Linked DNA regions of Cricetulus griseus. The protein of the gene in region 3 purifies or fractionates together with the protein of the main gene of each other region. This does not show direct contact. Links are inferred from orthologs where the notes say so. Each region holds a gene or a part of one and is shown on either strand. Other genes may lie near its edges. The genes, in order: Crkl, Eps8, Sos1 and Frs2.

Region 1 (3,567 bases), on a different chromosome or scaffold from region 3:
TGGAATGGCATAGGCCTTTTGAAACATCAAAACCAGTGACAGATCTTTCCCATTGAGACCACACTCCTAATCCTTCCCAAAGGGTTCCACCAACTGGAGACCAACTATTCTAATATATGAGCCTATGGGGGCCATTCTCATTTAAATCACTACAATGGATCAGCAGTTCAGAGCACTGGCTGCTCTTGTAGAGGCCCCAGGTTTGATTCCCAGCACCCACATAGTGTCTTAAAACAGGCAACTCCAGTCTGGGGGCGGGGGTGATCTGATATCTTCTGGACTCTGTGTGGCACAGCACACACACAGTACACAGACATATTTGCAGGCAAAACACCCATACAAATGATGAAATGTTTTTGAAAAATCAATCTCCACCTTTTGTTTTAACTTACTTATTTTGCAAGTGTTTGGGGCACTTTGCCACAGCATGCATGTGAAGTCAAAAGGGTAGCTTTCAGGAGTGGGTTCTTATTTTCCACCCTGATTCAGTCAGATCTCCATGTTTGCTGTTTCAGAGAGTACTCCAGGCTAGCTAGTCCTCGAGCTTCTAGGTGACTCTTGTCTTGGCTCTCATCTCACTATAGGAGTGCTGGGTTATAGCTGCATGCCACCACATGGCAGCTTCTCACAAGGGCTGCAGGATGGTTAAGCTTCAACAGCCAACACCTTTACCCATTGGGCAACACCACCCCCCCACCCCCCACCCCCCTCCCCCCACTCCCCCCCCCCCCCCCCCCGCCAACTTCCTTTTGAGACAGGGTCTCTTTCCAAGCCTGTAGCTCACTGATATGCTAGAGTGGCTGGCCATGGATCTCCTTGCCTTTGTCTTCCCCATGCCTGGCCTTTCACTTAGGCGCCAGTGGTGTGAACTCAGGTGTTTGTGCTCGTGTTGTAACCACTTCAGTGGCCATCTTTCCACCCCAATTTTCCTTCTTTCTTTCTTTCTTTCTTTCTTTCTTTCTTTCTTTCTTTCTTTCTTTTGTTCTTCCAGTGAAACTTCCTTAAAACAATAAAAACAAAAAACAGCAAAGGACTGTTTGGAAAGTAGTTCAACTTGAATTTTCAAAACTTTCGTTAAAATGGAATTTTTTTTGGTTTGGATTTTGGGTTTATTTGTTAAAGAAATCACAAATATGGGACCTTATACATACTAGGCAAGCACTCCCCCTCCCCTTCCCTCTCACGCTTTCTTTTTGAGGCCTTGTCTCATGCAGCTCTAGATGGATGGCCTGGAACTTACATCTGCCTGTTTTGCCTTCCTAGGGCTGAGTTAAAAGCTCCCCTCCCCCCCAATCTTACTACACACTTGACTTCGTTTTCTGTGTTTTTTATCACCTGGGGAGGAGGGTACAAACATGTATGTGGTTAGAGGATAACTATGGAGTTGGTTCTCTACCATTTACATTGATTTTGGAGAGCAAACTCAGGTCATAAGGTTTGCACAGTACACTTTGTACTGCTGAGCCAAGTAACTGACCATGGCTCTCCCTCCCTCCCTCCCTCCCTCCCTCCCTCTCCCTCCCTCTCCCTCCCTCCCCTCTCTTTTCTTTCTTGGTTGTTTTTAAGACAGGGTTTCTCCATGTGGCTTTGGAGCCTATCCTAGCACTTGCTCTGTAGACCTTGCTGCCTTGAACTCCGAGATCTACTTGCCTCTGCCTCCTGAATTCTAGATTAAAAGTGTGCACCACCATCACCTGGCTCCCCCCACCCCCACCCCCGCCCCCCCATGGTCTCTTAGTTTGTGTCTGTTGTAACTAGGGAACTACACCATATGTGAGCCATCAATGAAAAGTGTGAGGAAATATGTCTGTGATGGTTCTAACAAAAGAAGGCTGTATCAAAACTTAGTTTTGTTTTTGTTTTTTTGTTTTGTTTTGTTTTTTGTTTTTTTCCAAGACAGGGTTTCTCTGTGTATAGACTTTGAGCCTATCCTGGTATTCAATCTGTAGACCAGACTAGCCTCAAACTCACAGAGATCCACCTGCCTGCCTCCTAAGTGCTGAGATTAAAGGTTTATGCCAGCAGCACCCAGCCAGAACTTACTTAAAAGTTAAGTAAATTTATATCAGTTATCTGAAACCAAACCTCCAAAATACATTGTGAATGATGGTACATGTGTCCATGTACACACATGACACAAAGTATATTTAGGATATTGTTATAGACAATAGTACAACCAGAATGTACAGTGACAAAACATTCTTAAATTATTGAGAATACAATGAAGAAACAGTTCATTATAGAGGAGGGTGGTTAGTAGATTTGTTTGACAGATACCGATATAGAAATCAGATAAGATTTTTCTTCAGAATAATTGTGTTTCTCTCTTAAGGTATCCAAGCCCACCAATGGGTTCTGTCTCAGCACCCAACTTGTCTGCAGCAGAAGAAAATGTGGAATATGTACGGACTCTGTATGATTTTCCTGGGAATGATGCTGAAGACCTGCCCTTTAAAAAGGGGGAGATTCTAGTGATAATAGAGAAGCCCGAAGAACAGTGGTGGAGTGCCCGGAACAAGGATGGCCGGGTTGGGATGATTCCTGTTCCTTATGTTGAAAAGCTTGTGAGGTCTTCGCCACATGGAAAGCATGGAAATAGGAATTCTAATAGTTACGGCATCCCAGAACCTGCTCACGCATATGCTCAACCTCAGACCACAACTCCTCTACCTACAGTTGCCAGTACTCCTGGGGCATCGATCAACCCTTTGCCATCCACACAGAATGGACCTGTCTTTGCAAAAGCAATCCAGAAGAGAGTACCTTGTGCTTATGACAAGACTGCCTTGGCATTGGAGGTAAAAATCTATCAAGACTGGCCTTTGAACATGGGTTTTCATTTCTAATCTTAAGTTAGCCATCCACTTAAAGTTACTTGTGTTCTTGGGAATTAGACTGGGGATTTCAAAGGATGCACTATTAATGTCTTGTCCTTTCCTAGTCATCATTTCAGTCCAGGTTCCCAGCCTGCTTGCTCTCTTTTCTGCTCCCAAAGCCTCATAGGTAGCTGGTTTTCTTTCCAGCAGGGAAAATGATAATTAGAAAGACCCATTACCTATGAGCAAAATTAGCATTCAGAGATAACAGTGCTACTTGTATAAATCCATATCTCCAACATTGTAATTAAGGAGCAATATAAATAAAATGTCTTAAAATTTAACTAGGCAGAGAAAAGAGTTTAAAATGTATCGCCCTTGCTTGTTACAGATTTTGCAAATCATAATAGTATAAAATAGAACTTGAACATTGTCAGTGTCATCTTGTTTTTGTTTTTTTTGGGGGGGTCATCATTTGGGGAGGGCCTAGGCCCTCCTCCATGTGTCTAGGCTGAACGAGTAACACTCTATGGGGAATGGGCTCCCAAAGTCCATTCGTACACTAGGGATAAATACTGATCCGCTACCAGAGGTCCCATAGATTGCCCAGGTCTCCTAACTGACACCCATGTTCAGGGGGCCTGGTTCCATCCTATGCTAGTTTCTGAGCTGTCAGTCTGGGGTCCATGAGCTCCCCTTATTCAGGTCAGCTGTTTCTGTGGGTTTCTCCAGCCTGGTCTTGACCCCCTTG
Region 2 (3,567 bases), on a different chromosome or scaffold from region 3:
GAGAAAGAACTGAAATTGCTATTTTCCTAACATTTGGGGTGGGTGGATCTCTTTATTCCCATATTTCCCACATATATTATAATATGCCTAATCTTAATATTAATATAAATATATAATCTTACATGTTATGTATTATATAACTAAGTTATTATATAAAGCATTATATAATATATAAGCTTTATTGTATATAATATAAATATGTTATATAATATAGATATACATTAGTAATCATAATATAATATAAATATTTAAGCTATAAATATATAATATATAAGTGGCAAAACTACCACAGTGGAGGTAGTGATATAGAATTCAAGAATAACAGGCCTTAAATATGATTATTCATAACGTATTGATACCAAGCCAGGTGTTGGTTAATGCCTGTAATCTGGGCACTTAGGATTCTGGGACAATGCATTTGAGGCCAATTTGGGCTGTATAATGAATTCTATACTGCCCTGTACTACAATATGAGAGCTTATCTGAGAAAGCAAAACAAAAATGTATAATGTGTAATAATCAATGGCATAATTTTACTTTTTATTTTAATGTAGTGAAAATGGCTTGTAGTCGGTACAGCTTACAACAGTTTCTTTGTACTGGTCCCCCATATCTGATGGGACGAGAGTCTGAGAGACAGTAGGTCTGTGATGAAGGGTCACCCTATCTCTGCATACCTGGCCTCTGAGGGCCCAGGTATGACTCAGCATGCCCAAAAACCGGGATGGATGACCATCTTTGGTCTGTGTCTGTTGACTTTTTTTGTAGAGATTTGTGAGGAAGTATAAATAGGTGATTGGAGGAGGTTGGGAATAAAATCGTTCTGACTCAGCATTATCATTTTATTGTCGAAACATTATTCCAGATATGAAGGAAATAATAAATACTATTTAATGCATCATTCATCTAAAAAAATTTAAGTGCATTGTTAAATCTGTTAATGCTGAATTATTTGATTTTCAAAGAAAATAAACTTAAAAAAATAGGCCCCATATATCAGTTATTATAATTTAAAAAGCTTATGGCAAAATAAGTGTGTTTCCTTCTTTGCTTGAGAAGGCTGCTGGCTATATACTTGAGGGATCCCTTCCCTTGTACTTTTGGTAACTAAGCAAAGGTCTCCTTAAAATGGTCCGTAGACAGAATTTTTAATGTGTTTAGTTGGTTTTGAAGTGTTGCTTGAGTAGCTGAAGTTGTGCTGTGGGCATTGTCTTTCTTCTGTAAATTCCACTCATCCATTGTCACTCTCTCACGTGTGCACTGTTTTCAGTCTTTCTGAAATGGGATTTCACATCGTCTATGCTGGCCTCAAACTTGATGTGTCATCCAAGATGACATTGAATTCCTGGTCCTCTTGCCTCAGCCTCTCACATGCTGGCCTTCTAGGCATATATCACCATGTCTGACCTTAATATGTGTGTTTAATAGATAGCGTCTGAGGTTAGAGTCTAGATTTGACTCAGTACCAACCAGTACCTTGGAATCATTTTTTTTTTTTTCTGTGCAATAGTTTGTTCAAAAAAAAAAAGCAAAAAACATCTCTCCATCTCTATATGTGTGCCACATGGAAGCCAGAAAGAGATGTTGGGTCCCTTGTAGTTGGAGTTACAGGTGATTGTTAGCCCCCAATGGTACTTCGAATGGAACTCAAGCCCTTTGCAAGAGCAGTGTCCTCCCTTCCTGAGCCATCTTCCCAGCCCCAGTTTGTTCTTTTTTAGTAGGAAGAACCCCATGGTGCCTTTTAGTTTTCCTACCTTTGAAAAGCGTGGACTGGCCCTCATGTTTACTTCTGTTCTCAGGCTTTAGAAAAACTGGTGGAATGACAGAGTTCTTCCTTTCTTTTTCTAGAAGTCATGACTCAGTCAAAACACAAACTAAGAAATATGCCAAATCCAAGTATGACTTCATGGCAAGGAACAGCAGTGAGCTCTCGGTCCTGAAGGACGAAGTTTTAGAGGTAAGCGATTTCACCTCTCATTCCTCTGAGACAGCAAGCTTGCTGTATCTTCTAATGTGTCTCCGAACCCTCTGAAAGAAAAACCAAGACCAAGAACTCTCTCTTTGTACACACCGCACCCTGGGCATCTGTATCTCTTTAGAAGTATTAGCTACTTAGTTTATGTGACCCCATAATAGTGTTGAGCATTCAAGTAAGAGACACATAGAGCACTATGGAAGAGGGAAGTGATTTCTTGGCTTGCCTTGTTGTCTTTCTTTGGGGTTTATTCATTTTGGAAGCAAGGCTAATTGTAAATTCAGTGGAGAGGAATCCTGACAGTTTAGTCAAAGACAACATTTCCTCCTCTCTGAGAATTCTTGCACAGACATCATCATGTCGAGGGTAGTGTTTCTTAGGCTAAGTTTACAGTATATTTCCTTGCATAGATACAAAGCATTTTGTTAAAAATAGTTTTTATATTTTCCCTTTTGTGGAAACAATAGACCTTTCCAGAATGACCATCTTATTGCTCTTTGAGTACCTCAAATGATTCAGGTACATTTCGAGAACAAAGTATATACTTGGGGCAGATTTGTCAAAGTCACTTTTTTTTTTTTTTGGTTTAAAAAAAACTGTTATTTTTATGAACTACTTATGTATTGTGAGCAAGAACTTTATAGAAAAATAATAGAACATACACTTTCAACATGGCAGTGTTGCTATATTTAATGATGTTTTATAAACAAATTCCTAATTATATTATATAATCTTATTTAGCTTCTCCTCCCTTTTTTGTTTTTGTTTTTGTTTTTTCAAGACAGTGTTTCTCTGTGGCTTTGGAGGCTGTCCTGGAACTCACTCTTGTAGACCAGGCTGGTCTCGAACTCACAGAGATCCACCTGCCTCTGCCTCCCGAGTGCTGGGATTAAAGGCGTGTGCCACCACTGCAGTCATAGTCACTATTTTATGCAAATATCAATAATTATAAGGCTTCATGTTCTTCCTAAGAATTTCAGTCTCATGTGTTCATACTCAGGTCATTATCAGAAGTCAAAAGATTGAGAAATAAATTTGAACTTTGCCCGTGAGTGGGTTTTGTTACCAAAATTTCTCTTTTGTTCCTTGCCTAATGACAGATACTTGATGATAGGAAGCAATGGTGGAAAGTTCGGAATGCCAGTGGAGACTCTGGGTTTGTGCCAAATAACATTATGGATATTGTGAGACCCCCGGAATCCGGAGTGGGGCGTGCCGACCCCCCATACACACACACCATACAGGTAACTTGGGTTCTGAGCAAAAGGTGACATTCACAGATTTCCAAGAACAGGAATCAAGTGCCTTTGTGTGTTAATCACTTGGAGACTGAGCTGGTTACATTTTTGAGAGCAACTGAAGAACAGCGTGGAGAGAGAGAACTATGCGTGTTTTCTGATTCATTTCCTAAGGAATCTGTTACGTGTCCACCAATAAGTTATTGTTCCTCTGAATGCTTTTTTATACCAATTTATGGTATTTCTGACAGATACAATTTTTTCTCCTTGCCCATTGACGTGGCCCCAAGACCGCCGGAGGGTAGAACTCCATCTTTGGCAGCCCTTACCTTCAGAGTCTAGTAACTGTTGAGT
Region 3 (4,168 bases):
GCCAACCAAATAAAATTCTAAAGCCATTAACCAAGAAGTTAAAAACTGGTGGGGGCGGAAGAGGGGTAGTTTTATTTTGAGTATCCCCTTACGCACTTGGCAACATTTTCAAATAACTTTAACCACTGGCAAACTAAAAGTAACATACAAAGGCTAAAAGTTCAAACTGCCAAACCAAAAGCGGGAAGACAGTTTGAAGATTTACTAAGTCACAATGTTGCTTTAGGAGCTTTTAAAATGTAGCAACATTTCCAAATAATTTACTTTAACCTTTGGCAAACTCAAAGTAACACACAAAAGCACTTGTTCAAAATGAATCCTAACAGGTGTCAGGCACAGTAGGATAACATTCCTATTCTCTGGTTGGGAATGGAAAGCATGGATAGGTAAACTGGAACTTAAAAGGCACTGCTGCGTTAGGATAAGATGCTAGCATGAAACAATGGAGCACTATCCAACTCAGCCCTGAGGGTTTGGGAAAAATCTCTGAGATTGAGTAGTATTAGACCAGATAAAAGGAACAGTCTGTCCAAAAAGCCTCCGGTAAGAAAAGGCATAGTTAGGCATTATACAAGTAGTTTAAAGTCTGAAGAAAGAGTTCAAGATAAGGACACACCCACACAAAATGTCCATGGACACATCTACATGAAATGCCCAGCACATAGATGATAATTCAGTAATTTTAAGATACAAGAGCATATTCAGATTATGAAAAATATGTCCAAGCTGTCTTAGGTGTCTGAAGAGCATTGTAGGTGAGAATTTAAATGAGAAGAACCTTACATGTTAGGAAGATTCTATAAACACATCACTTCTGCAGGGATACCTCTGCTTGAAATGGAAAACCAACCAACCTGAGTAACACTGTGTTAAACTGGAAACACAACACTTTCTCAAGAAGGCAGCCACTTACAACTCTAGTAATTTACTGTTGTGTGAAAATGGCAAGACTGTCTATAACTCAAGAACAAAATAGGAATTCAGCCTATGTGATACTTTTCATTTAGGATAGTGGCAACTAATTACATAAATTAAAAAACAAAACACCACAATGACAGCCAAACAAATGTGTCTGTGAATAGATTTCACCAAGGGCCACCCATGTGGCAGGTTAGAGAGGTCTGCCAACTTCTACAATGCACTTTCCACCACTTCAAAGGGTTCTCAAGTGTTATTTTTGAGCTCCTTGCTTTTAAACCAAATACCCCAAACTGGTAATGTCCTGTGAGGGCTTTTATACATATAAATCAACTCTTCTCTCTCATCTTGTCAAGATACCAAGCTTCAAGCATCTTGAGGCACACTTCTCCACTTCTACAAGCTAAGCAGTCAAGTGTGCAGGTAAACCAATGTAAAAAAAGACGGAGTGAGGCCTCATGGGATCATTAATGAACAAAGTATGCACGACAAGGTGGCCTCTTTGATTTCCATAGAAAAACACCACAGAGGTTTGTAAGCAGTGAGACACTTGAGGATAGAAACCAGTAACCTAAATATGAAAAATAAAAACAAAGTCTTCTGGCAATTTCCACCGTAAGATACCAACAGGGGAAGGGATGAACAGGGCAAAGGAGAAACTAAAAGTTGCTAGCCTTTGAGGACTATGAAACACCTTTCAAAACTCTCTGGTATAATAAAAGCCTCCACACAATGGTACAGTAAACACTCTCAATTCTCAATTGAAACAAAGCTGTATTTTAGCAAAGATAGCTTGAAAACTATTTGAGCAACAAGAAATTTAGATTAAAACTACTGAAAGAGTAAAGCAGTTTTTACAGGTAAGGCAAATGTGAGCAAAAACAATCCGGTTGTTTTAAAATCCACTCAACCACCTCTGTTTCAGATGTCTTACTACAGAATCTACTAAGTAACAATGTTGCTTTGGAAGCTTTTAAGATTTAGTCACTAGCAATCTAAAAAACAAAGGCTAAAAATTCGAAATGCCAAACCAAAGAACAGACTGTTTACAGTGTTGCTTTAGGAGCTTTTAAAATGTAGCAACATTTTCAAAAAAAATTTACTTTAACCTCTGGTAAAATCAAAGTAACACACAAAGACTAAAAATACAAAGCGCCAAACCAAACAAGGGTTCAAAGATTCTCAGACTCCCCAGAAGAACCCATCTGAACACAGTGGCATGTGCATCACCCCTGTAATGGGGCTGGGGGAGTGTCAAAAGGACCGGGAGTTAGTGACTGAAGGCGAGCAAAGCCAAGCAGGCCATGTTCTTGCTGGCAGGCTACCTCGCAATTACTTAGGCAAGCACTGTGGCCAGGGCACTCTCCAGCCAGTAAGAGCGCACTGGACTCCCAAAACGGGAGGCTGACCGCAGCTCGCTAAGACCGAGACGGTAGGCAGTGGCCTTCTTTGACCTCCACGGTAAACCGAGGCTCCTCTAACCGTCGCCTCAGCGCTTGGATTATCGGGGCCAACCCTCCCCAACTGTGTGTGGCCTTCCCACGCACGCCGGGCGGGTGTCAACAGCTGGAGCAGCCGGGCGCGGGGAAGATCGCCGCCTGCACGGTCCTCCCGGGGACCCTGCCGACCAGGGAGAAAGACGGCGGTGCGCGCCCCGCCTCCCCGCTCTCGGCCAGCCCGGCGCGGGCTGCGGCCGGGAGCGGGCTCGGCGCTCCTACCTTTTTCAGCGCCGGCACCAGCAGCCCCCGCCACTTGGGCGCGTTCTCCTCGCTGAAAAACTCGTAGGGCAGCTGCTGCGCCTGCATGGTGCCCGCGGGACGCCTCGGGGCGGGCGGAGGGGCGGCGGCTCGCGGCGCGGCGCGGAGCGGAGCGGAGCAGGGCCGCAGCCCGCGCACAGCCCGGCCCCTTCGGGCGCCGCGCGGCCGGGCTAGCGCTGGCGAGGCGGCTGGGGGCGAGGCCCGCCCACCCACCCGACACGCGCGCCGGTCGCCGAGAACCAACGCAGCCCGACGGTGGCGGCGGCTGCATCCCGCACCACCGCCCCGGGGCAGGCCCCCCGCTCCGCCCCGGGCCGCCCTCCGACGCCCGCAACCGGACTGCGCTCCCCGGCACGGCCTGGGCCGCCGAGAGACGGCGCGTGGAGGGACGCTCTAACCGGTGGCTCCCGCTGGCCTGCGGGGAAGTCGAGCGCGAAGCTCGGAGCGGGGCGGAGCCCGGGGACCGGGGTCGGGCGGAGGCGGGGAAGGGCCGGAGTTCGCTGCTGGGGCCGCCGCCGCCGCCGCCCGCCGCCGCCGCCGCCGCCGCGTGTAGCGCTGGAGCTTCCTAGTAGCAAACTGAACCTGCCCGCGACTGAGCATGCGCCGCCGGCCCAGGCCGGTTCGCTCCGGGTTTTCCGGCTGCCCGCGGATGAGGAGGGGCGCGCGCAAGAGGCTGGGAGGGCACTGCAGGGGCGGGGCCGAGGGACCCTGAAGGCGAACCCGGGACCGAAGGGCCTGGGTGTGTGTGGGGCGGGGGGGGGGTGAGCAGGCAAAACGCCCCCTTTGTGTGGCCCCGTAGGCCCGGAGCCCATGCCGCTCCAGGAGGTCCTAAGACCCTGGGTCTCAGAAAGGGGTGTGTGTACTTTGTTCCCAGCATGAAGATAAGGAGTGCCCTGAGCATGCACTGTATACCAAACAGATAGCACAAAAGATAGGTTCCGTCTCACAAAAACCTCTGCTCAGTATTTGTCCGGTGGGAGGAGAGGTCGTCCTGTTTCCCTCGTCCTTTCCATAACATGAAAACGTGTATGTGTAGTAGTCATTGATCGCGTCTACTCAAACCCACAGGCCACATTTACGGGCTTAGTCCACCCTGCTTTGTATCTTTCACGGCTTCAGTTGGATAATTAGCTTCTGAAAGGAATGGTTTATTTTTTCTTCTGGCACACGACCCAGAATAGAGACATGAAGATCCCGGAACGCTGTAGAAGCAGTATCTACAAATTGTCCTTCCATCCCAGGGATGCAGATGTTTGTGACAGTGGCATTGTGCAACACTGTGGCACGTTATGCTTTATCATTGAACGCTTTCCGAGTAAAGTGTTTTAGTTCTCAGAGTTTTAATTTCATAGTTGAGAAGACAGTTCGAAGAACCAGCCTGGGCTCAAACTGACATTATGTCCTGCTGTTTTGGAGTACAATAAACAAGATCTCACAGATGAAACATGTTTGAAACCAGTGTTCTTAATCTTTAGACGATCTCCTAGAATCTG
Region 4 (3,567 bases), on a different chromosome or scaffold from region 3:
AAAGAACACAAAGAAATTCACTTTAAAAATACTAAAAATCCCTTAATGGCAAATGATCATATAACTTAACAAAAGACAGACTTATCTGATTATATATATTGTTCTAACAAATACTTGGTTCACATTTGAACCAAGCAACTTCAACAGCAGAATCTACCCTTCCATCTGCAGCTCACTGGTAACAAAGACTAAAACACAAAAAGCAGCATAAACTCTTAAACAATGAGAAATGGCTGAGTTTGTCTTTCTTCATCAACAGATGTATCTTTCTACGGACACACAAACTACGCAGAAATTTCTTCAATCTGAGCACTCAGGAGGCAAAAAGGCAGGCAGATCTCTATGTAAGTCCAAGACCAGCCTGGTCTACATAGTGAGTTCCAAGACAACCAGGGCTCCAAAGTAAGACGCTTTCTCAAAAGAAAGTTCCCCTGATGTCTGTATATATTTTGGGAAACACACTGGCAAATACATGCCATTTCTTCCATTGTCAATGCATAAGTAATTCACAGTGGAAGTTAAAATTCATACTGAACAAAAGCTCCAATTGTCAACACTGTGACTCTTTACTCCACTAAACAGTTCGCTATTACACAGTGGCAGTTGCTTACTTGTTCCTCGGCCACAAGCAAAGGATGTGTAGACTCTTCACCGACTGAGGGTAAGCGAGCACTTCCCACAGAAGGATGCCGGCTGGAGGGGTGGGATGAGGCATCTCCAAATGAGGGGTATCGGGGATATCCATTAGGTAAGTTCTGAGCAGCAAACCCTGGAGCTGAGAAAGATGATATGGGAGTAGGGCAGAGAGTAAGAATGAGTGAGACTCTAATCTGCTGGTGAGACATAGAGAAACTAGAGCACAAACAGCAGCCCATCCAGTCTTACTGTATCAGCTAACCGTTCTTTGTGGCAATGTTGGTGATAAAGCACCTGACCCCACTCCCACAAACAAGCATTCTGACACCAAGCTATATATACTCCTGGCTTTTAACTCACATTTTAGGAAATGTGACATATTTAATGTTTTCATCTTTAAAAATGTCTGTAACTAAAGCTAACAGGGATTTTGTTGTTGATCACCATTTCTAATTGTTATAGATTAACTATCCATAAGCTGTATCTTATAAATGTCTGACATGCAAAATGAGGGGGAATGGCTACTTACTTGTAGGTGTTCGAGGTGTTCTAGGGACTTCCAATTCTGTCTGATGACTATTCCTTTCTACAACCGGCTCTTCTACCACATTTATACTGTTATTTTGCATAATCTCTTGCAACATGTTAAATAATTCTTCTGCACGGGCACACTTAAATGCAAAGATTCCTACAAATATAAATCAAGAGGGAAACATGGCAACCATGCCTTTAAAAAGCCATAGAAGTTTGGTCAAGAAAGCAGAGGTTAGCAGTGACTGCAGTATTTATATCAAAGGACAGAAAACAAGCGACTGCTGGATGCCCAGCCATAATCGGGATGTATAACCCTCCAAGACCCAGGAACAGCACGGAAGAAAGGGCAGGAAAATGTCAGACACAAAGGAAGGGCAAGGAATGTATGCAATGTTGCTGCACTCTTGAATTCACAGTAGCTGGGATTATGCACATAAGAACTGAATTTATTAGACCATCAACATACCCTGTCATGGGGTAGGGGAGTTGGCTCCAGGGGGCTTAGGATTTATACCTAGTTAGTGGTTAATGTGGGAAGGAAAGACGTTATCAATGGTGAAGCCAAGGCAAGGTGCCTATGCTCTTGTGAACAAACTCTCACGCAGGTTCCTATAAAGGACTCCAACGACACTCACTGGGATTCTCCCAAATCCCCTCCCAATGACATGAAAGTAGATGGGGACTAACAGGTAAGGGAAAGAGATAAGCAACAGAGGAGAGGAGTAAGAGAGGACAAGAGGGGTGATATGATCAGATTTTATTATATACACATATGAAAATGCCAATAAAACCCATTTTATATATAATTAATATGTGGTGATAAACATTTTTGAAAAGTTGTAAGAACACATCAAAGAAAAAGTTACGAAATAGGTATCTATGGTGGTCTGGGTCCTATAGGCTCAAGCACGTCTAGTCCTCAGTTGTGGAATGTTTGAGTAGGATTTGGTGTGGCCTTGTGAGAGGGAGTATGTCACTCGGAAGGTTTTGGGTGTCAAAAGTCCAGGCCAGTCCAGTCTCTGCTGCTGCTAGTGCATCAGGATGCACTGCTTTCAGCTACTACCAGCACCATGCATTCAAAGCATGCTCCCTGCCACGAGGACAACTGTAAGCCAGCACCCAGTTAAATGCCTTCCTTTATAAGGCTTGCCTTGGTCATAGTGTCTCTTCTCAGCAATAGAACAGTGACTAAGACAGCATCCGAATGCGCCAACAGCAAGAAATAACTTGTGATAAATTACATACGCCTTATTTTAAGGCATAAATCTATAAGGCTCTCAGATAATTTTTGTTTGTCTAAAGGACAATGTTTCAGAGCAAAGCAAATGAGATCTGCACATCTACTCCAGAATCTTGAACAGCAGGGGGAGCCCAGTCAACACTCTACCACTCAACAGGCCTGGCTATGGGCCTTATGATCATGACCGTGTTCATTGTCACAATTCCATAAGACAGGTATTATCATTCCCCCTTTACAAAGGCCCAACAGAAAGCATATAGCTTGCCCAGATCACTCCATTAGTAGGAAGCCAAAATTATTATCATTACTGTTATTACTAATAAATTAATAAAAAAACATGTTCTGACTCCATTGTTTACATTCTTTGCCCAAGATCCAAAAATGATACTTAGCCATTTTATTTCTATGGGGGGGGGGAGTACTTAGTGCATGCTTGATAAATGAATTCATAATTAATCTGTTTTCTTTTCCTCTTTTTTTTTTTTTTTCAGAGAAAGGGTTTCATTGTGTTAACTGTCCTAGCTGTCCTGGAACTCACTCTGTAGACCACACTGGCCTCAAACTCAGAGATACACCTGCCTCTCTGCCTTCTGAGTGCTAGGATTAAAAAGAGTACCATTAGTGCCCGGTCATGATTTATTTATTATGTACACAGTGTGTGGTGATATATTAATTATAATTTATTAAAGCTTGCATGAGGAGTTAGAAAGCAAAGCCAGCCACAAGCTATAAAGGTCAGGCAGTGGTGGCACACACCTTTAATCCCAGGACTCAAGAGACAGGCAGATGTATCTCTCTGAGTTCAAGGCCACCCTGACCTACATAAGAGTGAAAGATAAAAAGGCTCATGCCTTTGATCCCAACACTGGAAAGGTATAAAAGATAGGAGCAGGGTCTTCAGTAGTTAGTCTCAGGCATTGATTCTCCGGCCACATTGAGGAGAAGACAGCAGTCTGACGCTTGGTAGAGCTCATAGAGACAGGATTACCATTTTAGCTGGGTAGAGGTAAGATCTACTGGTTTGGCTGCTTTGCTTCTCTGATCTTCAGCCTGAACCCCAATATCAGTCGCTGGGCAGAACACTATTTGTTCTGCCCAGAAAAGAGCACCAGATCTCATTACAGATGGCTGTGAGCCACCATGTGGTTGCTGGGAAT

What was found.
Region 1: the proteins of Sos1 (region 3) and Crkl purify together in Homo sapiens (affinity purification with mass spectrometry; 3 studies listed by BioGRID and IntAct, with this or other methods). This does not show direct contact. The link is inferred for Cricetulus griseus from reciprocal best matches to the Homo sapiens genes SOS1 and CRKL.
Region 2: the proteins of Sos1 (region 3) and Eps8 purify together in Homo sapiens (affinity purification with western blotting; 5 studies listed by BioGRID and IntAct, with this or other methods). This does not show direct contact. The link is inferred for Cricetulus griseus from reciprocal best matches to the Homo sapiens genes SOS1 and EPS8.
Region 4: the proteins of Sos1 (region 3) and Frs2 purify together in Homo sapiens (affinity purification with western blotting; 5 studies listed by BioGRID). This does not show direct contact. The link is inferred for Cricetulus griseus from reciprocal best matches to the Homo sapiens genes SOS1 and FRS2.

What each region holds. Positions count from the first base shown.
Region 1 is NC_048597.1:71,850,134-71,853,700, reverse strand, and holds part of Crkl (crk-like protein), read left to right. Parts: intron 1-2,332; coding exon 2,333-2,798; intron 2,799-3,567. UniProt on the Homo sapiens protein: May mediate the transduction of intracellular signals.
Region 2 is NC_048601.1:11,521,969-11,525,535, forward strand, and holds part of Eps8 (epidermal growth factor receptor kinase substrate 8), read left to right. Parts: intron 1-1,848; coding exon 1,849-1,957; intron 1,958-3,075; coding exon 3,076-3,219; intron 3,220-3,567. UniProt on the Homo sapiens protein: Signaling adapter that controls various cellular protrusions by regulating actin cytoskeleton dynamics and architecture. Depending on its association with other signal transducers, can regulate different processes.
Region 3 is NC_048600.1:3,606,429-3,610,596, reverse strand, and holds the start of Sos1 (son of sevenless homolog 1), read right to left. Parts: upstream 2,818-4,168; 5' UTR 2,724-2,817; coding exon 2,637-2,723; intron 1-2,636.
Region 4 is NW_023276806.1:139,240,135-139,243,701, reverse strand, and holds part of Frs2 (fibroblast growth factor receptor substrate 2), read right to left. Parts: intron 1,325-3,567; coding exon 1,166-1,324; intron 776-1,165; coding exon 612-775; intron 1-611. UniProt on the Homo sapiens protein: Adapter protein that links activated FGR and NGF receptors to downstream signaling pathways.